7 linked regions of the Canis lupus familiaris genome follow. The main gene of each other region encodes a partner of the protein of the gene in region 3 in a complex. Links are inferred from orthologs where the notes say so. Each region holds a gene or a part of one and is shown on either strand. Other genes may lie near its edges.

Evidence for each region.
Region 1: SNRPB (region 3) and PRPF4 share a complex: the UniProt entries of both Homo sapiens proteins name them as parts of the U4/U6-U5 tri-snRNP complex. The link is inferred for Canis lupus familiaris from reciprocal best matches to the Homo sapiens genes SNRPB and PRPF4.
Region 2: SNRPB (region 3) and PRPF31 share a complex: the UniProt entries of both Homo sapiens proteins name them as parts of the U4/U6-U5 tri-snRNP complex. The link is inferred for Canis lupus familiaris from reciprocal best matches to the Homo sapiens genes SNRPB and PRPF31.
Region 4: SNRPB (region 3) and STRAP share a complex: the UniProt entries of both Homo sapiens proteins name them as parts of the SMN-Sm complex. The link is inferred for Canis lupus familiaris from reciprocal best matches to the Homo sapiens genes SNRPB and STRAP.
Region 5: SNRPB (region 3) and DHX16 share a complex: the UniProt entries of both Homo sapiens proteins name them as parts of the minor spliceosome. The link is inferred for Canis lupus familiaris from reciprocal best matches to the Homo sapiens genes SNRPB and DHX16.
Region 6: SNRPB (region 3) and SNRNP200 share a complex: the UniProt entries of both Homo sapiens proteins name them as parts of the U4/U6-U5 tri-snRNP complex. The link is inferred for Canis lupus familiaris from reciprocal best matches to the Homo sapiens genes SNRPB and SNRNP200.
Region 7: SNRPB (region 3) and SRRM2 share a complex: the UniProt entries of both Homo sapiens proteins name them as parts of the minor spliceosome. The link is inferred for Canis lupus familiaris from reciprocal best matches to the Homo sapiens genes SNRPB and SRRM2.

Annotation. Positions count from the first base shown.
Region 1 is NC_049232.1:68,050,492-68,054,729, reverse strand, and holds the start of PRPF4 (U4/U6 small nuclear ribonucleoprotein Prp4), read right to left. Parts: upstream 3,011-4,238; 5' UTR 2,883-3,010; coding exon 2,856-2,882; intron 1,908-2,855; coding exon 1,730-1,907; intron 283-1,729; coding exon 96-282; intron 1-95. UniProt on the Homo sapiens protein: Plays a role in pre-mRNA splicing as component of the U4/U6-U5 tri-snRNP complex that is involved in spliceosome assembly, and as component of the precatalytic spliceosome (spliceosome B complex).
Region 2 is NC_049222.1:103,842,634-103,846,385, forward strand, and holds part of PRPF31 (U4/U6 small nuclear ribonucleoprotein Prp31), read right to left. Parts: intron 2,450-3,752; coding exon 2,366-2,449; intron 1,777-2,365; coding exon 1,679-1,776; intron 770-1,678; coding exon 663-769; intron 1-662. UniProt on the Homo sapiens protein: Involved in pre-mRNA splicing as component of the spliceosome. Required for the assembly of the U4/U5/U6 tri-snRNP complex, one of the building blocks of the spliceosome.
Region 3 is NC_049245.1:19,129,750-19,133,429, reverse strand, and holds part of SNRPB (small nuclear ribonucleoprotein-associated proteins B and B'), read right to left. Parts: intron 1,571-3,680; coding exon 1,459-1,570; intron 1-1,458. UniProt on the Homo sapiens protein: Plays a role in pre-mRNA splicing as a core component of the spliceosomal U1, U2, U4 and U5 small nuclear ribonucleoproteins (snRNPs), the building blocks of the spliceosome.
Region 4 is NC_049248.1:15,359,189-15,362,940, forward strand, and holds part of STRAP (serine-threonine kinase receptor-associated protein), read left to right. Parts: intron 1-561; coding exon 562-643; intron 644-1,199; coding exon 1,200-1,272; intron 1,273-3,546; coding exon 3,547-3,643; intron 3,644-3,752. UniProt on the Homo sapiens protein: The SMN complex catalyzes the assembly of small nuclear ribonucleoproteins (snRNPs), the building blocks of the spliceosome, and thereby plays an important role in the splicing of cellular pre-mRNAs.
Region 5 is NC_049233.1:606,559-610,310, reverse strand, and holds part of DHX16 (pre-mRNA-splicing factor ATP-dependent RNA helicase DHX16), read left to right. Parts: intron 1-628; coding exon 629-883; intron 884-1,072; coding exon 1,073-1,276; intron 1,277-1,353; coding exon 1,354-1,545; intron 1,546-2,085; coding exon of another isoform or gene 2,086-2,135; coding exon 2,136-2,246; intron 2,247-2,417; coding exon 2,418-2,533; intron 2,534-3,752. UniProt on the Homo sapiens protein: Required for pre-mRNA splicing as a component of the spliceosome. Contributes to pre-mRNA splicing after spliceosome formation and prior to the first transesterification reaction.
Region 6 is NC_049238.1:34,675,702-34,679,453, reverse strand, and holds part of SNRNP200 (U5 small nuclear ribonucleoprotein 200 kDa helicase), read right to left. Parts: intron 3,618-3,752; coding exon 3,428-3,617; intron 3,331-3,427; coding exon 3,166-3,330; intron 2,932-3,165; coding exon 2,810-2,931; intron 2,577-2,809; coding exon 2,433-2,576; intron 2,329-2,432; coding exon 2,152-2,328; intron 1,851-2,151; coding exon 1,690-1,850; intron 1,574-1,689; coding exon 1,492-1,573; intron 1-1,491. UniProt on the Homo sapiens protein: Catalyzes the ATP-dependent unwinding of U4/U6 RNA duplices, an essential step in the assembly of a catalytically active spliceosome. Plays a role in pre-mRNA splicing as a core component of precatalytic, catalytic and postcatalytic spliceosomal complexes.
Region 7 is NC_049227.1:38,751,155-38,754,906, reverse strand, and holds part of SRRM2 (serine/arginine repetitive matrix protein 2), read right to left. Parts: coding exon 2,911-3,752; intron 2,667-2,910; coding exon of another isoform or gene 2,654-2,666; exon of another isoform or gene 2,649-2,653; coding exon of another isoform or gene 2,572-2,648; exon of another isoform or gene 2,167-2,571; coding exon 1,882-2,166; intron 1,527-1,881; coding exon of another isoform or gene 1,365-1,526; exon of another isoform or gene 1,290-1,364; coding exon of another isoform or gene 1,265-1,289; exon of another isoform or gene 781-1,264; coding exon 667-780; intron 548-666; coding exon 437-547; intron 349-436; coding exon 339-348; 3' UTR 1-338. UniProt on the Homo sapiens protein: Required for pre-mRNA splicing as component of the spliceosome. As a component of the minor spliceosome, involved in the splicing of U12-type introns in pre-mRNAs.

The sequences.
Region 1 (4,238 bases), on a different chromosome or scaffold from region 3:
ATTACCTAAGATGTTCTATTAAAGTTTTAGGTATAACTGAAATTTGAAAGTAGAACCTTGTGATTAAAAAGAGAGAAAATATTTAGAAAGGGCACCTTTCTCTTCTTTCAGCAGGACCCTCTCCAAAAAGTGTGATGGGCTCCCCCAAGGCTCTAAGGCAAGCCTTGACCTCTGAGTCATCAGTGGAAACATTGATTTGCCGGGCTCGCTTTCTTCTCTCAAACTCAGCTAACACTTCGGCCTGTCGTTCACTGATGTGCTCTTCAATTTCAAACACCTCTCCTATAAGAAGAACAGGTAATATCAGCATTATCACTAGATCTTCAAACAGAGGGGAAAATAATTTCTTACAATTGCAGTCTGTGTATCCTCTAGGAACTAATTTATTACATACTTTATTGTTTCTCAGTTTATTAAATTTTGCTAAACACAAAAAACTAAATGATAGCTCATTTAAAATTACTTAAGTCATCTTTTTTTTTTTTTTTTAAAGATTTTATTTATTTACGAGAGAGAGCGAGAGAGACAGTGCAGGAGTGCAGGGAGGAACAGAGGGAGGAGAAGCAGACTCCCTGTAGAGCAGGGAGCCCAACACAGGGCTCAGAACCTACCACCCTGAGATCGCGACATGAGCCAAAACCAAGAGTTGGACGCTTAACCAACTGAGCCACGCAGGCTTACCTCACATCATCTTGTTTTGACAACCTTACATCTACATACACACATAACTTAGAGGAGATCAGAAAGTAGAAGTACAAAGCACTTTCAGCAAATGAGTTAACTAGATCTTCTATCCAGAAGATAAAATAGATACAGTACTTTAACACTTGCCAAACCTATTCTCTAAACCAGCCCCAGCTGAGGATATCTATGACTTTAACTAGTAAACTGGAGAAAATTACCATTAAAGGGCTTTCCCTTAACTATAGACTTTTTGGATAACCTAGCAGTTAGTTTTAAAACCAACACTGGGGCATCTGGGTGGCTTAGTCGGTTAAGCATCTGCCTTTCGCTCAGGTCATGATCCCATAGTCCTGGGATCGAGTCTCAAGTGAGGCTTCCTGCTCAGTGGGGTATCTGCTTCTCTGCCCCTCCCTGGCTCATGCTCTAATAAATAAATAATAAAATAAATAAATAAAACACACACTGACTATGAGGATTTTTTTTTTTTTAAGTGTGGGTGTGGAGCCCAACTCTGGGCTTGAACTCACAACCTTGGGTGGTTCAGCGGTTGAGCATCTGCCTTCGGCTCAGGACATGATCCTGGAGTCCCAGGATCGAGTCCTGCGTCGGGCTCCCTGCATGGAGCCTGCTTCTCCCTCTGCCTTTGTCTCTGCCTCTCTCTGTCTCTCTCTCTCTCTCATAAAAAATAAATAAAATCTTAAAAAAATAAATAAATAAAATCTTTATGGGATCCCTGGGTGGCTCAGTGGTTTAGAGCCTGCCTTTGGACCAGGGTGGGATCCTGGGGTCGGGTCCCATGTCGGGCTCCCTGTATGGAGCCTGCTTCTGACTCTGCCTATGTTTCTGCCTCTCTCTCTCTCTCTCTGTCTCTCATGAATAAATAAATAAAATCTTAAAAAAAAAAAAAAAAAAAAAGAAAGAAAAAGGCTCTCTAGATGATGCTAACCAGGGTAGGCAAAGGATGGCCTTACATAGATCCAAGTTTAACTAACATTTTTGATATTATAATACAAAGATAAAGAGGGACTCACAATTTGCATCTTACCAGAGGTTATGTTAATATTTCCTGCTTCAATTCCAGCTTTAAGTCCTTCTTTTCCCAAAATCCCAGACTCTCCTTTGGCCAGACGCTCCCTCTCCTTCTCTTCCAAACTTCCGTAATAGATGTGTGGTTTCTTCACAACAGGAGCAACTAAGTCATCAGGTGCCTTAGTTTTGGTTGCCTGATAAATCAAAGACACGGATTAACCTAAGGTCTGATACTAACCACTTATTAGGCTTCCCCCAAAGGATGGAGCTCATCCTGAGCTTCAATCCTATTTTCCCCCCAAATGAAAAGGACAGGTCGGACACCAGTTCAGGTTATCTTCACTGACTGGGGGGCGGGGTGTCTCTCCAAGCTACTTAGGTTCTGCAGACGGGAAGAGGCTAATAGAACTAGTCCATCATTATTCTTGGTAACTTTTCTATCAAAGATTTGCTTTGGAACATGTCTGCATCATTCCGTGGCAACCTCTTCTTGGGTTTTATGAAATTTCCAAGGTTACCCCTCATCACAGGGGCAGTATCAAGGAGAACAACCAACGCAGTATTAAAGGGGGGCAAGTTAGTTACTTTTCGGTACATTTCAAACGTTTTCAGAGTAAGGCAACACATATGAAGTTAGGAGGCCAAACTGCAATGAAGTCTGACACAGACGTGAATCTGGGCCTTCTAGAGCTCAGGTTTTGGAGCAGTCGGAAGAGGTATTTACCGTTCGGGCCTGTAGTGAGGGGTGCAAATGAATTAAAACACGGGAACGGGGGGATCCCTGGGTGGCTCAGCCGTTTAGCGCTGCCTTCGGCCCAGGGCGTGATCCTGGAGTCCAGGGATCGAGTCCCGCATCAGGCTCCCTGCCTTGAGCCTGCTTCTCCTCCCTCTGCCTGTGCCTCTGCCCCTTTCTCTGTGTCTCTCATGAATGAATGAATAAAATCTTTACAAAAATAAAAATAAATAAAACACGGGAACGTACTTCGGGGTCTGGAAAACGCTGCTCCTCTAAGGACCGAGTCTCTCAGCCTTTCACCTCCGACCTCCACCGCCTTAGCCCGTTCCCCGAGGGACCCCATTTCGCAGGAACCGCCCCCCCAGCCCCTTCCGCGCTCCCCGCCAGAGTGAGTGGAGTTCCGTACCGTGGAGGCGGCTCGTGAGGAAGCCATGCTGAGCTCCGCGGCCGCCAAACCCCGGCGAAAGCCGAGCTCTGCGTTTTCAGACCGTCCACCGCGCGCCCGGCAAAGCGGAACTGCGTCACTGGCCGGAAGTGGGCCGACGCAGCGTCGTGGGTGGCGTGGGGCATGACGGGAGTAGTAGTAGGGAAGCGTCGTGGCGCCAAGAGTAGCGTGAACTTAAGGAGAAAAGCACGCGGCGGACGAGACTCTGCAGAGCAGTCTGGGAAGTGTAGTCCCGCTCGCTTAGCTGAAGATTCGCGGTGGGCGCCGCCGGGGTTCCGGGAGGAGGCCGAGCAGGCTTGGAAAGAGGTAGGTGCGTCGGGCCGCGCGGCCGCGGGCTGAGCTCCGGAGCAAATGGAGGGCTTCCGAGGCCTGCCGTGGCCCCCGGCCCCGCGAGGGGCTGCGGTGGGCCCGGAGCGGAGGGCCAGGTTGCCATGGAAACCCTCGCTGTGGGCCCGCGGGTGCCACTCTGCAGCTGGTCGCCCTCCCCGCTGTCGGGAGGTTGTCCCAGGGCCCTCCTTGGAGCGGGCTGAATGCGCAGTGGATTCGGGCGGCGGCCACCAGCTCCCAAGTAGAACGGAGGCCCGGAGGAGGAGCCACGGCCTGCTTTTATTGCTGGTCTTCAGCCGAGTGTTTGTACCGGGGTCGGAGTGAGGCGATGCCTGTCAAGTGCACACGGGCACCTCTGCACGGCCTGGGTACCGCGGGGGCGGGGGGGGGGGCGGGCTGCGGCATCCGACAGGAGCAAGGCCAGGGCTTTCCCCCCTGTCGGGGGTGGAGATGCTTGAAGTTTGGGTGATTCTCGGGCCGGACGGAGGCCCCCCCCCCCCCCCCCAAGGACAATTAGGATGATAATAATAATAATAATAGCTGGTGTTTATTGGGCGTTTACTAAATGCCAAGTTGTGTTCCAGGCACTTACACTGCCGTACCTCACTCAGTCTAGACAACAGAGGGCAGAACATGAGGAAACCAGCGTCCACTGTGAAGATGAAGCTAGTGTCCCAGAGGGTTGGCGTGTGGGATTAGAGCCCCTGCCCTCTGCCCTTGGGCCTCCTGAGCGAGCAGCTTTGCCCATCACTCGGTACTGCCTCCTAGTGGCGAGCTTTACAAAGTTTGCAGAAAAGTGAGGAACCTGTACGGCAGGGTTTTTTTTTTTTTTTTTCCCTCCCCTACTCTCCCTTGGAACTTCGGCTTCCTCTACCATTTGTTTACATCGGACTTAAGAGAGTATCTGATTTATTTCTTTGATTTTACCTTTTTTTTTTTTTTAAAAAGGGAAGATTTTTATTATTAAGTGATTCTACACCCAATGTGGGGCTCAAACTTAGAGCCCCCACATCAAGA
Region 2 (3,752 bases), on a different chromosome or scaffold from region 3:
TGTTTCCTCCTAGACAGGAGCTCGGGCAGAGCAGCCTCCCGCCTCCCCTTTGCAAACTTCTCTAATCTTTGCCCTCAGAACAGTTCCCCGTGCTTGGCTGGCATTTATTCAACAAACAGAATGAGAGCCCAAGAGAGGTCTCCACACCCCAGGACTCTGCTCTGGGGTTCAAGACAGTTCCTCCTCTTAGGCACAGAGGCCAGAGGGGAAGGTGGAGACCAAGAGGCCAACACAAGGTCCCTGACTTCAGACACTTTCATTCCAACGAGGGACAACATGCCCGAGACAAACATTCTATGGGATGGCCCTCTGCCTCTGCACTCAAGGCTTCAGGCTCCCCACTGAATGAGCCCCTCCAGGCCCAGCAGGGTACCTGGCTCACCTCAGCACTCAAGGCCTGACTCCTCACTGACCAAGCACCCTGGGCCTAGCAGTGTACCTGGCTCACCTCAGCACTCAAGGCCTCAGGCTCTCCACTGACCGAGCACCCTAGGGCCCAGCATGGAACCTGGGTTACAGGGGGCCCTTATTAAACATTCATGAGACAGAAATAAACTGTCCTCCTGAGATGGACACCTGTATCGCTGGGACCCCAAGATCCTCATCTGCTGTTAGATGGGCTCAAGGGGGCTGCAGTGCATGGTCCCACCCTATGCACGCACCCCTGGGTGGTGGAGGCAGTCACGCTGACGACCATGATGGTGGCGTTGGTTAGGATCTGCTGTAGGTTTTCGTTATTCTTGCACTTGTCCAGGCTGTTGCCCAGCTCCTGGAGGTGAGAAGGCAAGAGGGGGAGGCACAGGGATTCAGGAAGGCCTGAGGAGCTCTCTTGCCCCTGCACCTAGTTAAGTCTCTTCTGGGGACATCTGGGGTCTGGATGAAGGCTGCCTGCTCCCAGCTCCCAGGACTTCACCACTCAGAACATCGGTACCGTTGCTCCTGCACTGCTGGTCTAGAACCAGAACCAGGCAGACCCACTGTCTGCAGCAACTCAAAATGCAACTTTGACCACACTGCTTCCTGCATGGATGCCCCCTGCACCATCCTCACCTCCTCCTGACAGCACACAGGAATCTCCTCACCGGTGTCCCCACTCTCACTAGTATCTGGCCCTCTCATGGCTTTTCCAGAAGGCCCAAAGCCTTGGGGGTCACAGGGGATGCAACCTCATTGACTTTGCCCTCACTTCCTCCCTTCTGAACATACCACAGCTTGTCATTATCTCCCGTTCTTGGTACTCCAGGCTTTCCCCCCCATATCTCTGCATGGCTGCCCCTGCATCAACCTTTAGATATCGACTCAATGCCACCTGCTCCAACCACTGTTGGTGGCATGAGAGACCCCCTCATCTCCCTCCTTACTCCCTCAGCCTCAAGCAGCTCCCAGCCCTTCCTGGGAGACCCATCCAAGGAAGCAGCAGGATTGGATGGGTGGCAGAGGAGCCATGAGAACATCCTTTCCAGGCTTCATCCCTTTCTTGCTGGGGAGCCTGGAGCAGCTGAGCCACCACTCGGCCCCTGCCAGTATCTGCAGGCCTCAATAACGAGAAAGGCAGCTGAGGCCTGGAGCAGCCTCACTAACCACATTCCAGGTCATTCACCTGCTCCCTGCTCCCCTTCACATGAGGGGTAGTCAAGAGAACTCCACTGTTCCTGAGTCCCCACCTCTGTCCACTCACCTTGACCGTGCGGATGTAATCCAGTGCATTAGGGACCAGAGACTCCAGTTCAGGGAAGCGCTTTGAGTACTTATCCCGGATGAACTTATGGATGATGTCTAAGGTAGGGAGAACAGGTAGCTGATAAGGGGGCAGGCAGACTCCACTGGCTGTCCGCAACACCCATCTCCCTGCTTCTTTTTAAATAAATGAACCCCTGAATTTAGCTGGGTTCGTGGGTACCCAGCAAAAACGCTACTCCCCTGCTGCCAGGTGTGGCCCTGCAAGTTAGTTCTGGTCTACAGGATATCATATGAAGTGATGCATGCAATTTCCAGGTCACCCCCTTAAAGAACTGTGCCCTCTTTTTCTTCCCTGTTCTGCTGGTGGGGATGTGGAGGTGATGACTGGAGGTGGACAGTCACTTTGTGCCCTGACACAGGTGGCAGGTCAAGACAGAAAGAGCCTGACTCCAGGGCTGGACTCCTCATCCAGATTCTCACATCGGAGAAAAGCACACTTTCTTTTTTTTAAGCTGCTGTTATGGCAGCTGAATCTGGACTACAGCTAGTATGAGGAGTCTGGGGCAGGATCTTGGGGAAGGCCAGTGGGGAAAGTAACCAGGGTCCTGCCTGTCCTCTCCTTGTGGATGGGAGGAGAGTGGAAGGGACAGCAGGCAGGGCCATCTCTGCCCTTCCTGCCACTCACTCAGCTCATTCTCGATCTCCACGGTCAGGTTGTTAGCATCCACGATGACTCGGTATTCAGGGGCCGCCTCAACAGGTCCCATCACTGTGAAGATGAGAAGCAGCCTTGGTGGGTGAGTGTCTAGGCTCCCACAGCCAGGGGAGTCAGGAGGTGTAGTTGGAAGGGAGCTGGGAGGCTAATAAGAAAACCTGGAGGTTTTCCAGGTTTTCCAGGGTTTCCACGCTGGCACACCTCCCATTTCTCTCTCTCCAGGCCAGTCTAGACACCACGGCGTGTCGCCCCGGAACTAACCCCTTAGGGGATCCCCACACCACTGAGGCCGAGGTGCAAGCTCCCCAGACGGGAAACACTATGAAGACAAGTTCTGCACCCCCAGTGCCCAGATGCCCACAATAGTGCCTGGCGCACGGGCACTGCTCTGTAGGTACCTGCTGACTCTCCAACTCCACAGTCTGGCCTTTGCACCGTCCAAGCCCCACTTTTTCAAGACACCACCATCTTATCACACACCAGCCAGGAAGGACTGACTGCAGTGCCCGAGCACTCAGGGCTGCTTCCTCTCCTCTGGGCCTCTGCATATGCTGTTCCCCCTCCCTGGCATGGCCCTTCCTCAACATCTGTTTCCAAAAGGTTCCTCTCCAGGTTTTAACAATGATGACAGTGAGAACATGGTCACAGGCCGTAGGTGCAGTGGCCAACACACATGGGACTCACCACGTAAGTGCCACTGCTCTATGTGCCTTACAGGTATTAACCTGTTTTACCACTATCATCTGGGGAGGCTGGCATCACATCAGACCATTGAGGCAGAGAGAGAGAAATGGAGGGATGTGGCCTAAAGCCATGGACCCAGCAGATGGCAGACCTGAGATCTAGCCCCAGCACCTGCATTCTTAACCCTGATCACTCAAATGTTTCTGCATCTTGAGACTCAGACAGCACCTCAGGATCCTTCCCTCCCCCTTCAGGAGGGTCAGATGTCTCCTCTGTGCTCCTGCGGAACTCCTGCCACATCCGTTAGACATAACCGCCACCCAGGTTGGAGGTGTTCTGTGTTCACCTCCTCCACCAAACACCAGGTGAGATCAGGTCTGACCTAACTCCGAGCCTGACCCGACATCAGGGAGTGTCCCTTCTACCGCTCCCCACAGCTCGCTGGCCTGGTGCTCAAAATCCTGCAGGATCTGGCACTTTCTCCTGCTGCCTCTGCCACTCCAGACATGTGAGGCTTTGCACACACAGTTCTCTTTCTCAGGGCATATAGCTGCTGTTCTTGGCCTGGTATGTGTATTCATGCTTCAAAGCCAATTTCAGGTATGGCCTGAGGCAGGGTCAGCCCCGCTCTGGTGGCTCCAATGCCCCCAGCTCTCCCCACCCCAGCAGGCAC
Region 3 (3,680 bases):
CTTTTAAAAACCATACAGTTAACTGGAAAACTGTTTACAGTGTTTAGTGAAAGAGCAAAACAAAGTATTACATATACATATTACACATTAAATTTAAAAAAATACATATGTGGACAAAAGTAAAATTAAGGACAATTATTCCTTTGATGATGTCTTAAAATGAAAATGGGGAAAACCTGGTTAGACGCTCTAAAGTCTCTTTTTTTTTTTTAATTTTTATTTATTTATGATAGAGAGAGAGAGAGAGAGAGAGAGAGAGAGAGAGAGAGAGAGAGGGGCAGAGGGAGAAGCAGGCTCCATGCACCGGGAGCCCGACGTGGGATTCGATCCTGGGTCTCCAGGATCGCGCCCTGGGCCAAAGGCAGGCGCCAAACTGCTGCGCCACCCAGGGATCCCAAGTCTGTTCTATTTCTAAATGGAGCCTGGTGTTTATGGAACCAAGACCGCCTGGGATCAAATGCCAGCTTCACCATTTATTAGCTGTGACACTCAGGCATGTTACTAAACCTGTTTTTCTATTAAGTGGGAATAATTTATCTCAAAAAACTGCTTGTAAGGAGAAACTAAAATATGGAACTGCTTGATATACAGCAGATGCTTAATAAATGTTAACTATTATTCTCTAACTGTACAAAATATATACATTCTGTTATTTGGAGTTAGGACTTTTTCTTTTTTAATTGAGAGAACGCTCATGAGTAAGTGAGGGAAGGGGAAGAGAGAGAGAGACTCTTCAAGCAGACACCCCGCCAAGCATGGAGCCTAATGTAGGATGGGATCCCAGAACCCAGAAATCATGACCTGAGTCAAAATCAAGAGCTGGCAGCTCGATCAACTGAGCCACCCAAGCACCCCACAATCCAGCATTTTAAATTAATGTTCATGAGTCCTTTGGTTTCTTCATTCCCTCTTAACTGAGCTCTCCCAGTTCTTTTCTAAAGATTTATTCATTTGAGAGTGGATGTGCAAGTAAGAGCATGTGGTTCGGGGTGGCAGAGGGAAAGAATCTCAAGCAGACTCCCCACTGAGCGTGCAGCCTGATGTGGGGCTCAGTCTCACAACCCTCAGTTCACAACCTGAGCTGAAATCAAGAGTAGGATGCTTGACCAACTGAGCCTCCCAGGTGCCCCCTGGAGTTAGAGGACTGTTCAAGGTCCAGGTAGAATGCCATCACATTAAGAACTGACCAGATGGCCTTAGGTGCCTTTTCTCCTCACTGTGTACAGCATCTGAGGGAAAGGAGGAGAGCTTTAAAGTTAGAACCCTCCAATTCTGGTTCCCCATTTCTACTTCCTACTTGTGGGGTAACCTCTTTGAGACTGCATTATATGTAAAAGCAGGAGAAAAACCAGAGGATGCCTGTGAGTAATGCAGTGAAATAAATGCAGAGAACCTAACACAGAGTCTGGCTCACAGTAGGGCTTCCCCACCTTAAAGTGGCCCTCGAGGCAGACTTACATCTTTGGGAGGAGGTCCCTCTACCGTCATTGAGACCAGGTTCTCCCCTCGAAGCAGCACCAGACCAAGGACTCGCTTCTCTTCTCTTTCTGCTTGTTTTGAGTTCTTTGGCCTGAGAATGGGTTTAGGAAAACAAATAAAAAAGCAAGCATTAGGAAAAGGGTAAAGCTCCATTCACCTGTCTAGGGGCCTCCAAGATCTGTTTTACACTGTTATCTCCCAACAAATGGTACAAAAACTTTCTCTAAGACAGTCTTCACAGGCTGAACTCACCACCCCTTTAAGTGGCTGTCTCCTACGGCAAGGGGATGCACTGACCAAGAGACAGGATACGAGTTAAAGCCCAGCCCTGGCTCAAATGTTAGTCCATAACTATCAGGAAGGCCTTTCCGCAGTCCAACCTTCTTTGACATTACCCTACTCCCTCCCTCCAGCTTAAGGCCTTGTCAGTGTGAGGAGGCAGCCGGAACAACTCAAGTCCACTGAACCCCACTCAGCCCTTTGCACACAACACCCTTCCACTACCAAGTCAGCCCCACAGAATGAGTCACTACAGCCCTCATCTCACCTCAGAAATAGAAACAATAAAAGAATTAACTATATAGAAATTACACCTCTGTCCTCAAAGCACAAAAACAGACATTCCCAATGTAACTACCAGAGCAGGAGAACAAATTATATAGGTGACCCTTGAACAACATGGGTTTGAACTGTGTGGGGCCACTTGTATGTGAATTTTTTTTTGATACAGTACTGCAAATATATTTTCCTTATGATTTTAATAACTTTTCTCTATCTTACTTTATTGTAAGAAAACAGTATATAATACATATAACATACAAAATATACGTTAATCTGTTTAGGTCATTGGCAAGGCCTCTGGACAACAGGAGGCTATTAGTAGTTCAGTTTGGGGCAGGGAATCAAAAGTTATACGTGGATTTTCAACTGTATGGGGTCAGTGCCCCAACCCCTGGGTTGTTCAAGTGTCAACTGTAAATGTAAACTGAGAAATAAACTGTAGCAAGATAGGGGAAGTAAAGAAAAAGCCAAAACTAATATCCTAAAAATAAAGCAAAGACAAAATGCTCTGATCTTTAAAAACTTATAGGTTTCCTTTAATATTTTTTATATTAAATTAACAGCAGTTTTCTGTGGGTGAACATTTCTTCCTTTTTCCTTATCTAAATTTTCTTTTTAAATAAAAGCATGTATTTTTCTTCCATAAAAATCAAAAAACCATATAAAACAAAAAAACTACAAAAAAAACCCCACCATTCTGGGTATTTAAATCTTCATACACTTTTATGTATTTTTAAAATATGTTTTCCAATAAACATTTTTTAATTATCAGAATAGTTTCATTAAAACAACAACAGGAGGGAACCATTTAGAATAGTTCTACGCTGACCTGCTGGCCCTTCTCTAATGTGTACCTGGCACTCAGCCATCCCTACCACACTGTCTCTTGTACTTCTTGACCTCTTGCCACAAAAAGAAAACAAGAGCCCTAAAGGGAATCAAAAGGAATTCATAGCTACCAACAACATAACATGGACCACTGCACGTGGCCAAAGAGAGCTGAATGATGACAGAAGTCACATAACCTCTTTGGGCCTCAGGATGCCTTGAATGTAATATGCACAAAAAGCTAGCCCACATTTTTTCATAGGCCAGAAGCTTAAAATCTGTGAGTCTTAAGACAAGGGAATTATCCAATTACATATAGAAGAGTAGAAAATATCTCTAATTGTGTCTATAAATGCCAACAAAAATCACTGGCCCCAAACCCACACGGGAAGCTGAGCACTTACCCTGAAGAGGGTCAGAGGCTTCTTAAAGCAGTTTCAGACCAGGCTGCATTGGGAGAGCCCTTTAGGCTACAGCTTTACAAATAGGCAATGAGGCCAGAAAATCAAGCTCTCCCCCCTTACACACCTGTGGGGAGAACATGAGAGCCCTTTACCCCAGTACCCAGGGGCACACAAAGTCAGAGAAACAAAAAGCCTAGCAGCCCTCCTTACAACTTTTATTCAGCTACGACTAGAGAGCAAGGCTTGCCGGGCTAATAACGAAGGAGATTTCTTAAGAGTCCAGCGTCCCCATTTAAATCTGCCCTCTAACACAGGAGAGCAAACCAAGGAACCAGCTGGCTACATCACTACCTGTTGCTTGGCCCACCCACCCAGTCCATTTCCCTCACAATTTAAATCCCACCCCCA
Region 4 (3,752 bases), on a different chromosome or scaffold from region 3:
AATCTTTAAAAAAAAAAAGAATTGGAGAATTTTAAGAGTCAACTTTGAGAAAGAGATAGGGAGAATATTTTCTTCTCAGTAGTCTCAATTTAAAATTTTATGTAACCTGTATCAGGGCCTTTCATTCTCCTGTAAATTCTTGTCAGGATTTCTTGTTTTTCTTTTTTATGTTTTGCATGTTACATAATAAAGAATAGAGAAACAAATTGGAGAAATGAAATTTAAAATGTTTTGCAGTCTTGCTAAAAGGATATTATGGCTATAGACTAAAAGTAAGGATGGGCTGGTTCATGGATCTCATTTACTTAAATTTGTAGATCTTTTCCATTGTCAAAATTAGACTGATTATATGGCTACTACAGGTAAATTTCTTTTCCTTTAGAATTGTTTAAATATTTAATCAAATATTTAAATCTTAACAGTGAGGGATATTAGAGATAATGGGAGACTTCTAATACATTTATATAACATTTCATATATCTACCATATTTGGTAATCACCAAAATTACCATTATATTTATCTTTTAATTTTTTTTTTTTTTTTTTTTTTTTTACTTTTAGCAAAGTGTGGGATGCTGTCTCAGGAGATGAATTGATGACCCTGGCTCATAAACACATTGTCAAGACTGTGGATTTTACACAGGTATCAGAAAATAGAATTTATTTTAGAAGGTTTAGATTGCTGTTATTATATGCTGTAATAATGGTTGTGTATTTGGTTTGTATATTTATTGTATATTTGGGGGGATACAATTTGTTTATATTTGATTTAATTACAGATTAAGCTATACAGATTTATTTATTTGATTAATCCTAAAGTACTGTGGAACTCTTGGGTCAGTTCTTCCATCAGTAGCAGCAGACATCTAAAATGTGCAAGTAATGTTTCCTCAGTACTTTCAGAAGGGAGAGGAAAAATTTGAGGTCATCAAAGAGGTGTTTCTTAGGAGGGAGAGGTGCAGGATCAGGGCAGAGGAAGAAAATTAATATGGTAGGTGGTATAATATATTTGAACTGGAGAGCTTAAAGGGTTTTGGCAATTATGAGAAAGATAAATGTTTTCTAGAAGCAATTGGCATGTATTGCATCTCTTTATGAAGTCTGAACTTTATTTGGATTTTAGTTGGTGTTAAAATTTTAAAGAGATACAGCTATTAAAATGGCTAATCTGTTAACATTTTGCTTGTGTGTGTTTTCAGGATAGTAATTACTTGTTAACTGGGGGACAGGATAAACTGCTACGCATATATGATTTGAACAAACCTGAAGCAGGTGAGCATAATTTATATGTCTTTGGATTATATTTTCTTTTAATTTAAATGAGTTTTTAATGTCTCTTTATTTGCTACATTGTGCTTGTGTAGTTTTCTTGCAAATTAAACACTTACCAGTTTATCATGCTAAATTTTTATCATATTAAGTTTAAAAAGGTACAGAGCAGTGTTACTACCTTTGGGAGGAAAGAATGGTTGTCTATAGAAAGTGAGAAGGGTAAGATTTTTTTTGTGTATATATTCAGATTTTTAAACCATGTGAATATATTAGCTAATCAGAAGAATTTTTTTCTTTTTTTTCAGAAGAATTTTTAAAATTAAAAAATTAACATTTTTTTCATGTCTTTATTCTATCCACTGTTTTTAATGACTATATCATTTTCATCCTATGAATAAGTGGATTAACCCATCTCTTATTCTGGTCCATTTGGGCTATTTAGAAATCTTAAATATAAGTAGTGTTATGCTGAACATTCTTATAGTTGGCAAATATTTCCGCAGTTATTTCTATAGAATAACTACACAGAAATAGAATTGTTGGTACAGAAAAGAGGTACACTTGGAAGCCATTGGTAGGTATTACCGAAGTGTGCTCCAATGAAATCTAAAAATATATAGCTAACCTGTTCTGACAAGGACCAATAACTAATTTTGCCTTTCCCAATTTAATAGAAGAAAAGTGATTCTGTGATCGTAATGTGAACTTGAAAAAATTATTCATGAGATTAAAATACTGTTGAATACCATTTTAATGTATTCTTTTGTGAACTAATAGTCTGTTCATGCCCTTTGCCAATTTATCTGTTAGGATGTTCATCTTTTTATTAGTGGTTTTAAGGTTCTTATCTTCTAATTTGTCTTTTGCTTTTAAATTTCGTTAATAAAGTTTATGGTATACGCATTGTAAAGGCTCTGGTGGTGGAATTTATCATTTACTTTATGAATTCTCTTATTGCACAGAAGCTATAAAAGATGCTTTTTCAAAACTCCCTGGTCCAGATATTCGTCTCTTTTGTAGTTTCTTAATGCTTTTCTAGCCACATAGTATATATATTTCAAAAATCAGCAGATTATGATAAACAGGGTTGTATTTATTTTATATAAGTTGGTATCTTCTATATTGTATCATGGGTATTTATTATTTATTCGTAATAAATCTATGAACGTCAGAAGTTTGTATGAAAGTCAAAGTTACATTGGATATTAAGCAGTTATTCTCAAGATACTCTTTTCTAAAAGCATTTCTAAGGCGAGCAAACTGACTACATTTATAGATTATTCTTCACAGACCCAGTGGTATTTCTTTTCATTTTCTTTAATAACGTTATGCCAAAACATAAAGCATTTGGACCTCATTTCATCATGTATCTTTCTGACTCAGCAAGGTGGTTCAGGTCTTAGGCGGACATTTTTCCATCTTTTACCTTTCTCAAAGCTGTTTTTTGAAAGTGCCTCTTTACTGTATTGTCAATAGAAATAATAGCAGTTAACTGCTTTTACTGTATGTCAGACTCCAGGTTAGAAACCTTAGATGTATATTCTCATTTGATCTTCATTCTCAAGCTATGAGGTATATGGTAACTATTGTTATCCCATTTTGCAGATGAAGAAATGGAAAGGGTTAAGTAACCTTTATTTCAACAGGTTTATTTCAACAGGTTAAATGACTTGCTCAAAATTGTGTTGAATGGCTTTGCCTCCAGCATCTGCTTTTGCCCAAAGATAAGAGTAGGGTTTTTTTTTTCTTGTTAATCTTTTGCAGGGAAAGTCTCCAGCAGAGACAGATCCCCCCCCCCCTTTTTTTTTGATGCTTTGTTCTCAATGTAGAAATATTCTTGGGAATTACTGCATTGCTTTTTATTTTCCTTTTCTCCTGTCAGCCTCTACTTCCCTCTTTTTTCCTGTTTCTACCAACAGGCTGGGAGGAGGGTCCCAGTGTTAGTGATATGTTGGATGAGCTTCTTTTATTTCAGTGTGGTACAGTTATGCTACTGAAAGCAGAAACAGCCTGGAGGGAGCAATGCATTCACTCCCAGATACATATAGCAGCATTGCTCTTGGGTTCTTTGTCATGCAGATAAATTTTTAATCCAGTGTAGAAAAACTAAATGTATTCTGTGGAAACCATAAGTTTTCATTGTGTTGGGCTTTGAAAAGTTGCAGCTTAATTTAAAATGTACTTCTTTTTTCTTCACATAGTTAATTGTTCCAGTATTGCTTAGTTTAAAAAACCAAATATTAACAAATATATTCTACATTGTTTCATTTTAAGAACCTAAGGAAATCAGTGGTCACACCTCTGGTATTAAGAAAGCTCTATGGTGCAGTGAGGATAAACAGATTCTTTCAGCTGATGATAAAACTGTCCGGTAAGTAATTTTTCTTTAGTAATTTAAAGTTTGAAACATTTGACCTTAGTGCTTATATTTTAAATATTTCTCATAACTGTATGTAGGAAGAATTATCTCTATACATTGA
Region 5 (3,752 bases), on a different chromosome or scaffold from region 3:
CTAAGGCAGAAGATTACCTTCTGTTGGCACATCCAGTGGTTACCATTAGTCTCACTTGTTTTCAGATTGAGACCTGTGCTTCTAAATGCTGGTATTAGCCCTTTAGTTTTCCTCCTTTCTTTTTTTTTTCTTTAAACATTTTATTTATTTATTCATGAGAGACACACACACAGAGAGAGAGAGAGAGAGGCAGAGATACAGGCAGAGGGAGAAGCAGGCTCCATGCAGGGAGCCCGACATGGGACTCGATCCTGGGTCTCCAGGATCAGGCCCTGGGCTGAAGGCGGCGCTAAACTGCTGAGCCTCTCAGGCTGCCCTGTTTTCCTCCTTTCCACTAAGTCGAATAAAATAGAATAAAACCTAAAACATTCAAATAACCCTAATGCATCTATATTGACCAGGATGGCGAAGCTGTCCAGAAGGGCCTTCAAGCTGGATTGTGCTGCTGAAAGATAGTGTTGGGGGTCAGTGTGTGGCTTTCAGAGAGGCCCAGTTTGGGGCAGGTCAGGTTGGACATTGCAGAAGGACACTGCTGGCCTGTTGGGGGATTTGTCACTCTTACAGATAGGTAAGGAAGGGGGTTGCTGTTCCAGCAAGATGAAGATTTGGCTACCCTGTCCTGACCCAGGTTCCCGAGCTGCGGAAGAAATCACGCCGCGAGTACTTGGCTAAGCGGGAGCGAGAGAAGCTTGAGGACCTAGAGGCTGAGCTGGCTGATGAGGAGTTCCTTTTTGGGGATGTAGAGCTGAGCCGACATGAGCGGCGGGAGCTCAAATACAAGCGGCGAGTGCGGGATCTGGCCCGAGAGTACCGGGCGGCTGGGGAGCAGGAGAAGCTGGAGGCCACCAATCGTTACCACATGCCCGAGGAGACCCGAGGCCAGGTGAGGCAAAGCAGAGTCCACTTTAGCCCTGCTCTCCAAGCTGAGTGGAGGGAAGTCTTCAGGGCTTTGGACAGGGCCTCCACTGGCCCCTTCTTGGTCTTGCCTTTCCTAGTGGGTAGGGATAGTGACTGGAGAGGAGAGACCTGGGAAGAGGGCATCCTCTGTCTTCACATGTCCTTCTCTCCACAGCCATCACGAGCTGTGGATCTAGTGGAGGAGGAATCAGGCGCCCCTGGGGAGGAGCAGCGACGCTGGGAGGAGGCCCGGCTAGGGGCAGCATCTCTGAAGTTTGGGGCCCGAGATGCTGCCTCCCAGGAGCCCAAGTATCAGCTGGTGCTGGAGGAAGAGGAGACCATTGAGTTTGTCCGGGCCACTCAGCTCCAGGGCAACGAGGTGAGCAGGAGAACTGTGGCACGTTCTAACGAGGTTGGGAAGCCGACCCTGAAGCTCACACCCCTCCTCCTCTGCAGGAGCCATCAGGCCCATCGCCTCCATCCCAGGCCCAGCAGAAGGAGTCCGTGCAGGCTGTCCGCCGCAGCCTCCCAGTGTTTCCATTCCGCGAGGAGCTCTTGGCTGCCATTGCTGATCATCAGGTCCTCATCATCGAGGGTGAGACGGGCTCCGGGAAGACCACCCAGATCCCGCAGTATCTCTTTGAGGAGGTACAGTCATCCGCACCCTCCAGGTTACCGGCCACCGGCCCTTGACAAGCACAGTCCTGTCAGAGCTCTTTTCACATGTTGTTTTGAGCAGTCACTTACCTTTTCATCTTTAATCATAGTCTTCTCCATTAAATTGTGAGTTTAAGAATAAGGGCAAACTTGTTTCCTGTTTCTGTTCTCACTTCTAACACAGTATCTGTGTCTAGTGCCAGCATTCGTGTTGGAAAGATGCATAAACAGGTAGATGGTGGGGTTGGGACCTTCCCATACCAACCCATTCAGCCATCGGTCCTCTGCAAAGGACAAAGAACAAGGAGTCAGAGGATTCATTTTCTTGCTTTTTCACCTTCTCTGGCTCCCCCTTGCTTCTGGGTCTGCCCTAGTTGGTCTGTCCTTTTCCATCTCAGATCTAGCTGAGCCTGAATGTGATCACCCAAAAGTCTGGGACCCTCAGAGGGTCGGGTTTTCAGTTTCTGTCTGTTCCTTCATCTCCCCCTGCCCTGTCGTGCACTTACACCTTTTTTCTCTGAATTATCCTAGGCCTCAGGAATATATTTAGCAAAGGGAAAACCTCTTCTCTTGTCATTCAGGGATACACAAAAAAGGGAATGAAGATTGCCTGTACCCAGCCCCGGAGAGTGGCAGCCATGAGTGTGGCTGCCCGAGTGGCCCGGGAGATGGGTGTGAAGCTTGGGAATGAGGTGAGATCTGTGGGGCCTAGGTAGGGAGGGGAGCCTCTAGGGTCTGGGACGTAGCCCACACTGCATAGGGCTTCACACCACACGTCCAGGCACTGACCCCTCATTCCCTAGCCCTGCACTCCCTTCCAGGAGTACCAGCCCAATCTCGATCGTTAATGGTCCCCTTGACAGGTTGGCTACAGCATCCGCTTTGAGGACTGCACATCAGAACGAACTGTCCTCCGCTACATGACAGATGGGATGCTCCTCCGGGAGTTCCTCTCTGAACCTGACCTTGCAAGTTACAGGTACACATGGGGTCACCACCTCCCACCAGAGAGCCACCACCATTCCTGCCCAGTCTGCTGCATTCTGACCCTTCAGCACCTTCCTGTGTCTTCTTTAATCTCTAGCCTATTTTTCCTTTCTTGTCATCCAGCTAGTTTGGCCTTTGTCTTCTGATTAGCCCACCGGTTCTTTTTTTTTTTTTTTTAAGATTTTATTTATTTATTCATGAGAGACAGAGAGAGAGAGAGAGAGAGAGAGAGAGAGGCAGAGACACAGGCAGAGGGAGAAGCAGGCTCCATGCAGGGAGCCTGACGGGGGACTCCATCCCAGGTCTCTAGGATCATGCTCTGGGCTGAAGGCAGGCACCAAACCTCTGAGCCACCCAGGCTGCCCAAGCCCACCAGTTCTTGAAGCTTGATGGTGTGGACAGTCCTAGGACTGACCTGTAGGCACCATGGAGATGGGGTAGAGGGACTGCAGAGATAGACCCCCCACCCCCCATTGCTTGCAGTGTTTAGAAAAACACCAGGATGGCAGAATGGTGCTCTAGAGACTTGAAAAGCCACGTGAAGACCCTTTGAAGAAACTTAGAATGTCCAGCTTAGAGAGAAGAGACTCAGGGAGACATCCTGGTTCCTTCTAAATATGGGAAGGGCTGCTCCGTGGAAAAAGAGGTCAAGCTTGTTTCACGTGACTGCAGCGAGCACAACTAGCAACCACGGGAGTGGCTATAGGGGAAAGAGGTTTCAGTGCAACACTAAGAAGCGAGAGTGGTAGAGATTGAGGCCCTCAATTGAGGTAGAGATTGTGTGCTGGGGCCCTCATCTTGGGCCTTTGGCCCAGGTCTTGGAGTAGCTTGGTCTGTGAATAGTACATTCCCAGTGCTGGTGTTGGCCAAGCAGAGCTTGGATAAATATGTGTTTAGGAGGAGAAGGGATCTGTGCATGGGCTGCTGGTGGGATCAGGCCAGCTGAGCAGTATGTGGTTTCTCAAATCTTAGGAGGCTGTGAAGTTCTGGTCCTAGAAGATCACAGATGGAGCAACAGGACAAATATGATCTGAGCTTTCACATCCCTTGCAAAAATCTCAGAAACCATGGAAGGCCAGCTAGTGCAAGAGTGTTTAGGGTGTGCGGTTTTCCTGTCAAGCCAGCCTGCTTTGTGAAACAGCTGGGGACTTCACTGGCATAGTCAGGGATACGCACAAAGAATTGAGGTCAGGGGTGAGCTCCTGCAGGCA
Region 6 (3,752 bases), on a different chromosome or scaffold from region 3:
GAATTTTTTAAACCACTAGTTTGTGAAATTAAACATTACAATGTTTCTGATTTCTGCTTTCAGTCCTCAATTATTCTCATATAAAGATCAGATTTTCTTTTTGGTCATAAAGTAGTAAGTAACTGAAAATGGAGTTAAGTGGTAGTGAGAAAGGAGAAGATCCACCACATAGAAAAGCCCAACTATCTTGGAACCATTTAAAGACAAATTCATGGGATGCTTAGGTGGCTCAGCAGTTGGGCATCTGCCTTTAAATCGGCATGATCCCGGAGTTCCGGGATCGATTCCCGCATCAGGCTCTCTGCATGGAGCCTGCTGCTCCCTCTGCCTATGTCTCTGCCTCTCTCTCTCTCTCTCTGTTTCTCATGAATAAATAAATAAAATCTAAAAAAAAAAAAAAACAAATTCATGAGGCGCCTGGGTGGCTCAGTGAAGTCCTTGCCTTCTGCTCAGGTCATGATCCTGGGGTCCTGGGATCAAGCCCCACATTGGGCTTCCTACTCAGCAGCGTGGCACCCTCTCCCTCCCCACACCACTGGTGCTCTCTCAAATAAATTATAAAAATCTTTAAAAAAAGACAAATTCATCTTAACATTCATAGAGATTGACAATACTGTGTAACTGGTGTTTTTCACAATGACCACTCACCTAAATTGTTTTATTTTTTTATTTTATTTTTTTCCTAAATTGTTTTATTTTTTTTTAAACTTCCTGGCTTTTTTTTTTTTTAATAAGATTTATTTATTTATTCATTCAGAGAGACCGAAGAGAGAGGCAGAGACACAGGCAGAGGGAGAAGCAGGCTCCATGCAGGAAGCCCGATGTGGGACTCGATCCCGGGTCTCCAGGATCACACCCCGGGCTGCAGGCAGCGCTAAACCGTTGCACCACCGGAGCTGCCCCCTAAATTGTTTTAAAGCAAAAAAAAAAAAAAAAAAAAAAAAACCCAAATAACCACCAATAGCCCCAAGATTAAATTCTCAGCCTTGTGTCTTGTCATTACTCTAAATTTCCCTCCCGAAGTGACAATGTAACCTTGAACTCTGGATCTAGTGGATGGATAAGTCTTCCAAAAGAAACTTCATCCTGGTACTTAAACATGGAGTTCATTTGAGATGCCTTTTGTGGTTTTTTGTTTTGTTTGTTTATTTTTGAGATGCCTTTTGACAATTTAGTTTCAATTAGCTAGCTAGGGATCCCCAGGTGGCTCAGTGGTTTAGTGCCAGCATTCAGCCCAGGGCCTGATCCTGGAGACCCAGGATCGAGTCCCACGTCAGGCTCCCTGCATGGAACCTGCTTCTCCCTCTGCCTGTGTCTCTGCCTCTCTCTCTGTGTCTCTCATGAATAAATAAATAAAATCCTTAAATAAAATAAAAATTAAAATCTAAATCAATAAATAAATAATTAGCTCTGTCAAACTATCTTCTAGAAGGAAATTTCAGGAAGTTTTCCATCCATCAGTTTTCTTTCTGTCCAGCTCCTAGGACCTACCTGTGGAAAGAGAGGTGCGATCACAGGGCCTGTGACCTCCTCTTCCCGCTCCAGCTGTACCAGCACCACAACCGGCCCACCACTGTAGGGGACAAGAGGGGGGAGCGCATCAGCACCGAGGTAGTGCGGTGGGATGGCCCTGTCACTGTGTGCCCAGCAGGGACCCTGGGGCAGGGCGCCCGGCCAGCCCTGGCTCACCTGCGGATGCTGTCCTTATCCACCACTTCGTAAGAAAGCTCAATATTAGGGTAGCGGTTGCAGAAGCGGGCCACATCAGCGATCTGGCTGTCAGACAGCTGAAGCAATGCATTTCGCTCTTCATCTTCCATCTCCATGATGTCAAAAACACTCTCCACTCCCTGCAGGGGTATTCAGAGGTCAGGGAAGGAGAACACAGAGTAACAGCAAATGGAATTTGGCTCGACAGCTGCTAATCTTACTTCCTATACCATCAGAGCATCCATACACAGCTTCAGAAAGAACACAGCCCACAACTGTACAACTGTCAGGCTCTCTAGCATCTCAATATGTAACACCCTCAGAGAAATTAGAACTCCCCCCTGCTCTGACTCACCCTTCCCCAAACACAACCCCCCCACCCCCCAAATCCCAGGACACCTGTCTCAGCCATCCAACCATCCAGGTCCAGACCCAACTCACCTTGTCTGTGCAACGTTTAATATGCTCTGAAGTGAAGTGTGGCAGCTGTTTCAGGTAGGAGTCCTTGGACCACATGGCTTGGGTTACCATCTGGGCCAGTTCCATAGCTGCCAAAGCAGGGCTAAGCCACCCATTGCTGGAGAGGACATCCACGCAGGCCTGAATGAGCCTGATTGCCTGAACCAGGATAGGAGTGCAAGAGAAGGAAAGGTTGGAACTGCTACTTCACAGGCCACCACCAGCCCCTCCACTCCATACCCACACCTGCACCCACACCATACCTTGCTAAGAATTTCCTCTGTATCTGACTGCAGCTCAGCACTCAGCTGCATGCGGGACAGGTGAGCTTGCAGAAGCAGGTTGGTCTTGACGTGTGGGTCATTGAACTTAGGGTTATTCAGCTTGTGGGGGACCTTCTGAGCCAACTGGAGAGTGGAAGAAAAATAAAGAGCTGGTAATGGACAAGTGACCCTCCCCAAGAACAGCTCTCAGGCCCAAAGTACCACCCGCTGCCGCAAGCTCACAACCCTTAAAAACAGAGAAGTGTGAGTGATGTGTTGGGGTCTTCCTGTGGTGGCAGAAACACGGCATGCTCTGGGCACACAGGCTAAGTTTCAACTCTAAAGATGTGGTCCCGAATCCACGATGTCCTCCTCACCTGTCGCAGGAGGTTATCTTCATGGTGCCGGATGGGAATGTTCTCATACTCTGCCGCATTGGAGATGATCTCGATAAGCCCTCGCACCTTGGTCTTGGCATTCAGGGACATGCTGAAGAGCTCTGACAGCCAAAGGTAAGGAGAAAGGGGAGGAGTCAGAAGCAGGTAGAAAAGGAGGAGGGAGGAAAGTTAACTGCCTGGGCTACCCTACCCCTGTACTACCCCACAATACATCCCTCTAATGAACACACAGGGTGCTAGAAGCCCTGTGCCCTCTCACCCACTGGGCTGCAGGCCCCTGCATGAGACTCCTTTAGCTTGGGCTCCCCAGACACCAGCCCCTGCCGGCCCCTCACCAATGGTGGTGTAGTTGATGTAATAGTAAGCAGCAATCATGCCCAGGTTCAGGGGTGCCACATCCATCTCGTCTTCAATGCTGATGCACTTGGACTGCTCCAAGTCACTCAGGGTCTGCTCCACGAGTTCTGACAAGTGGTCAGACAGGTGACGATGGGAGATGCCTGTAACGGTGAGAGAGAAGTAGGGAGTCACCAGGAGATGGCCGGCAAGGGCCATGAGAACCACAAAAGGATACTGTGCACTCCACAGTCCACTGACCCTGCAGGTTGTAGTAATTGGGGTTCTGTGTCATGCGGCGGTACAGAAAGGTCCAGGTCAGGTAGTCCACGGCATCCTGCTTGTTCTCTATGGTCTTGGTAACAATCTCAGCATTGAAGTGGTCATGCATACAGTGGTCGAGGTGGGACTCTACTGGCAAAGGTTCATATAAAAACTTCTTGAAGAAATCCTGTAGATTGGAAAAGGAGAGATGGCAATAAAGAGTCAATGACAACACGGTCACAAAAAAGGGCTAAGGGCAAATCAACAGGGAATGGCTCTGTGTTACAGACCCAGCTAATACAACAATGGAAGAACTCACTGT
Region 7 (3,752 bases), on a different chromosome or scaffold from region 3:
CCCCCAGGAACTTAGGGGTAAAGGAGGGGGCATCATGGCCTCCCAGACCCTTTCTAACTCAAGACCAGGGTGTCCCCAACTGTATCCTCCCCTCCCACAACTCCCATTCTCATTCCCACCCACCCCAAACCCCCCAAAAACGTGAACCAGGAAAAACTCACAGAGATTAACATTTCACAGGAACAAAGAAAAAGGGGGGGGGGGAGAGCCCGCCCCCAAGATGCTGCCGGGGCTCAAAGGGGGGCAGACAAGGACCCTTCCCACAGTTCTGCTGGGGAAAGGGGACACTCCCTGCAGCTCCGGAACTTGGGGTATGATAGAATGAGCCCCAGAAAGATTCAAGGAGACCTGCAACAGAAAGGGACAGTCAGGGAAGTGGCCCGCCAAGCCCGCACACTCACAAGGACACTAGCACCTGAGTGCCAGGACGACGCACCTGGAGGAACGGTGCCGCACAGGCCGGGGGCTGGGTGTCTCCTTCCTGCGCTTGTGGCCTGGGGAGCGGCTGTCCCCACGCTGGCCTCTGCGGGAACCCCGCTCACTGCTGCTGCAACAACACCGAGAAGAGATCAGATCACACACAAGGCAACATCAAACTGGCCCCTTTGGGCCTCAGAACTTCTCAGCAATGCTGGTCAGACTGGGCTTACAGACAGGAGGCCCTACCTCTGCTGGTCCCGTGGCGAGGGCTGGGGCGAGGGGCGGCGGCGCTCCGCAGGCGAGTAGCTGAGAGACCGAGAGTCTCGGAGAGAGTCTATTGGCTTCCGGGGGCTACGGGACCTGAGGAGCAGAGCAAGCCCCCATAGCACCACGCACTTCCAAAGCCGCCAGCCGACACTCAGGACCACCCCCCAGGTCCTGACCACCAAACCTCATACCACACAGGGCCAGCCTCAGACCCACCTTTGTCTGCTCACTCACCCATCCGCCCGCACACCATCCACCGAGTGCCCCAAGGGGCAGGGCACGGGGTGCAGCGGGGGATGCAAAGATAAAGACAATCCCTGCCCTTGGAGGGGCTCAGTCTGGTGGTGAAGGCAGGCCAAGGGAGGCCCACCTGGCCCCATGTATGGGAAGCAGCCCCACAAGGACCGATGTACGTGGGTCTGGGGACCCCGGGGGAGGGGATGTGGGGCAGGGAAGGGGCAGGGTAGTCTTCTCGTAGGTGCTGTTTGAGCGGAGTCTTGCAGAACGAGGAGTTCACCAGGCGGACAAGGGAATTCCAGGCAGAAGGAACAGCATGTCCAAAGGCATGGGGTTCTCCTTAGACTGCAAGGCGCTGGGTGTGGCTGGAGCACAGGGCATGTGTGGGGGCGGGCAGGAGAGGAGAACACAGGGCAGGCAAGGCCAGTTGGTGAAGAGCCTCACACGCCATTCCCGCAGAGGTGGGGCTTTATCCTGCAGGCCACAGGGCGTCCCGGAAGGATTTGTGGAGTGGAGGGAAGTAACCAGATGTGCGTTTTAGAAAGATCCCTCTGGCTACGTGTGGAAGAGAATGGCGTGGAGGCAGGGAGACAGGGAAGAGGCTGTGGACAGAGTCGGGAGAAGATGACGGTGGCCAGACCAAAGCCCTGGCAGTAGCAACGGGGAGATTTAAAAGCTAGAATCCCTGGGACCTGGGAGCAGGGAACAGGATGCATGTCAGGGGCAGGGAGAGGAAGGAACCTAGGACTACTCCACAATTCTGACTGGAGCACCCACTCGGATGGTGCAGCCCTTCGCCACAATGGGACACAACCAAGGTGGTAGGGAGAGGAGAGCCCGACTCCTCCCACATAACCAGACACCACAGTCCACCTGAGATTCCCAGCAGGGATCTCATGGGATCTCACACCCAGGGTCTCACCCCACCCCTTCCATCTCAAGCAAGGCAGCACTCACCTCCGCTCACCAGGGGGCGGCTTCTTAGGGCTTGCAGGTTTGGGCAAGGCCTGAGGGCCAGGCTTAGCAGGGGAGGGGGAGGAAGAAGTAGAAGAGGAGGAAGAGGAGGAGGAGGAAGAGGAGGAGGAAGAGGAGGAAGAGGAGGAGGACGAGGAGGAAGATGAAGAGGAAGAGGAAGAGCTGGAACTGGAGCTACTAGAGCGCCTCTTCCGCTTGGCTGGGGTAGGCTCCTGAGGACGTCCCTCTCGAACAGCCTCCTTTGGGGCTGGGGTGGGGCTGGGTACCCTGTGGGAGAAGCAAAGTGTCACAAGGAGACGAGCTGCCCCAGCCCCAACCCTACCTTCCTTGGCCTGGAGGAACGGCAGTGGGGGAGTGGTGCTGCAGAAAGGCTGTGAGTGCTCTCCAGGCCGAGAGCTCAGAGAGCCAGTGAGCGCGTTCTCTGGAGAGCAGTGGCCCCGAGCTGACCCAACCTCTGCTAAGACAAGCAACAGGCTGGGGCCCGCAGCACAAGGGATCAAGGCTAAACCTCAAGAATGTCCCTGATGGAATAAGGCTCCTGGGCTCAGGTGTGGAAGGTGAGCTGGGTGGTCTCCTTCCACGGAGAGCCACAGTTTGGGGAGGCCCCTGTGAGTGCAGGTTGGCTGGGGGAGGGGCCGTCCTGCCTGGAGGCAGGGAGAGGGATGGGATGACCTCTGAAGATCCTTCCAGCCCAGGGAGTTCCTCTTGAGGTCTAACTGCCATCCCTCCTGCTGTAAAATTAAGTCCATTTCCTCTAGTTCTGTCCTCTGTAGAGACGGAAAACTCATCATTATCCTCTAGAGAATTAACCTTAGGAGACTTTTATCTGACCCATTCCTCCCCCCCCGTTGCCCCCACCCCAGCATTCTCTTCTACCCCCAGCTTAAGGGTCAAGCTCCCCATACCTCCATCAAAGAGCAGAGAACCTCTGGACAGGGCTTCTCCCTCCCCACCACCAACCATCCCCAAAACCTGCCCCATAGAAACAGTTCTAAAAGTCAAGCCTCTCACCTCTTCAGTGCTACCTCAGGTTGAGTAGGAAGGCTAGAGCCCTCTGAGTCGCTAGAACTGGAACCGGAAGAGGAGGAGGAGGAAGAGGACGATGATGACGACGATGAGGAAGAGGAGCTGGAGGAGGAGGAGGAGGAGGAACTCCGCCGCTCCTTTGCCGGCTGCAGGGCGGCCAATGCAGAAGACTGCTGGGCCCCCGTGGAGACAGGTGGTTCCCCACCCTCAGGATGGGACATGCCAGGGGCAGGGCCAGAGAGCATGCCATTGTGGTCATCAGCAGAAGACGTGGTCTTGGCCACTGTCCCAGAGGAAAGGGACTGAGACCCTGCTGCAGGAGTGGTCTGGGCAAGCAAAGCTCGGGACTGGTCAGAAAAAGCAGATGGCACAGGTGACCTAGGTCTATCCTGAGCTGGAGGAAGAACACACTGTGAGGAAGCCTGGACCATTCTAGAGGCAGGAGAGGGAGCCCGCTCAGAGGTCATTCTAGACTGGCTCAGGGCAGATGGTGGGGTTCTGGAACCTGGCCCTCCTGGTGGGGTTCTGGATCTGGCTCGGTCAAGAAGCGGTGGTGAGGTTCTACCACTAACGCGCTCATAAGCAGAGAGGGGCACCCTGGGGCTGGTAAGGTTTGCGCCAGACAAGGCTGGAGCCATTCTAGCACTGGTGAGGCTTGCAGGTGCCAAGGCAGGAGGGGTTCTTGAGCTGGCAATATTCACAGGAGCTGTGGCATGTGTAGATCTAGGACCCACCAGGTTTGCAGGCGCTGCAGCCTGGGGTGTTCTGGAGCTGGAAGGATAGTTTGCAGCAGTTGGGGGTGTGCCAGAGCCGGTGAGACTCAAAGC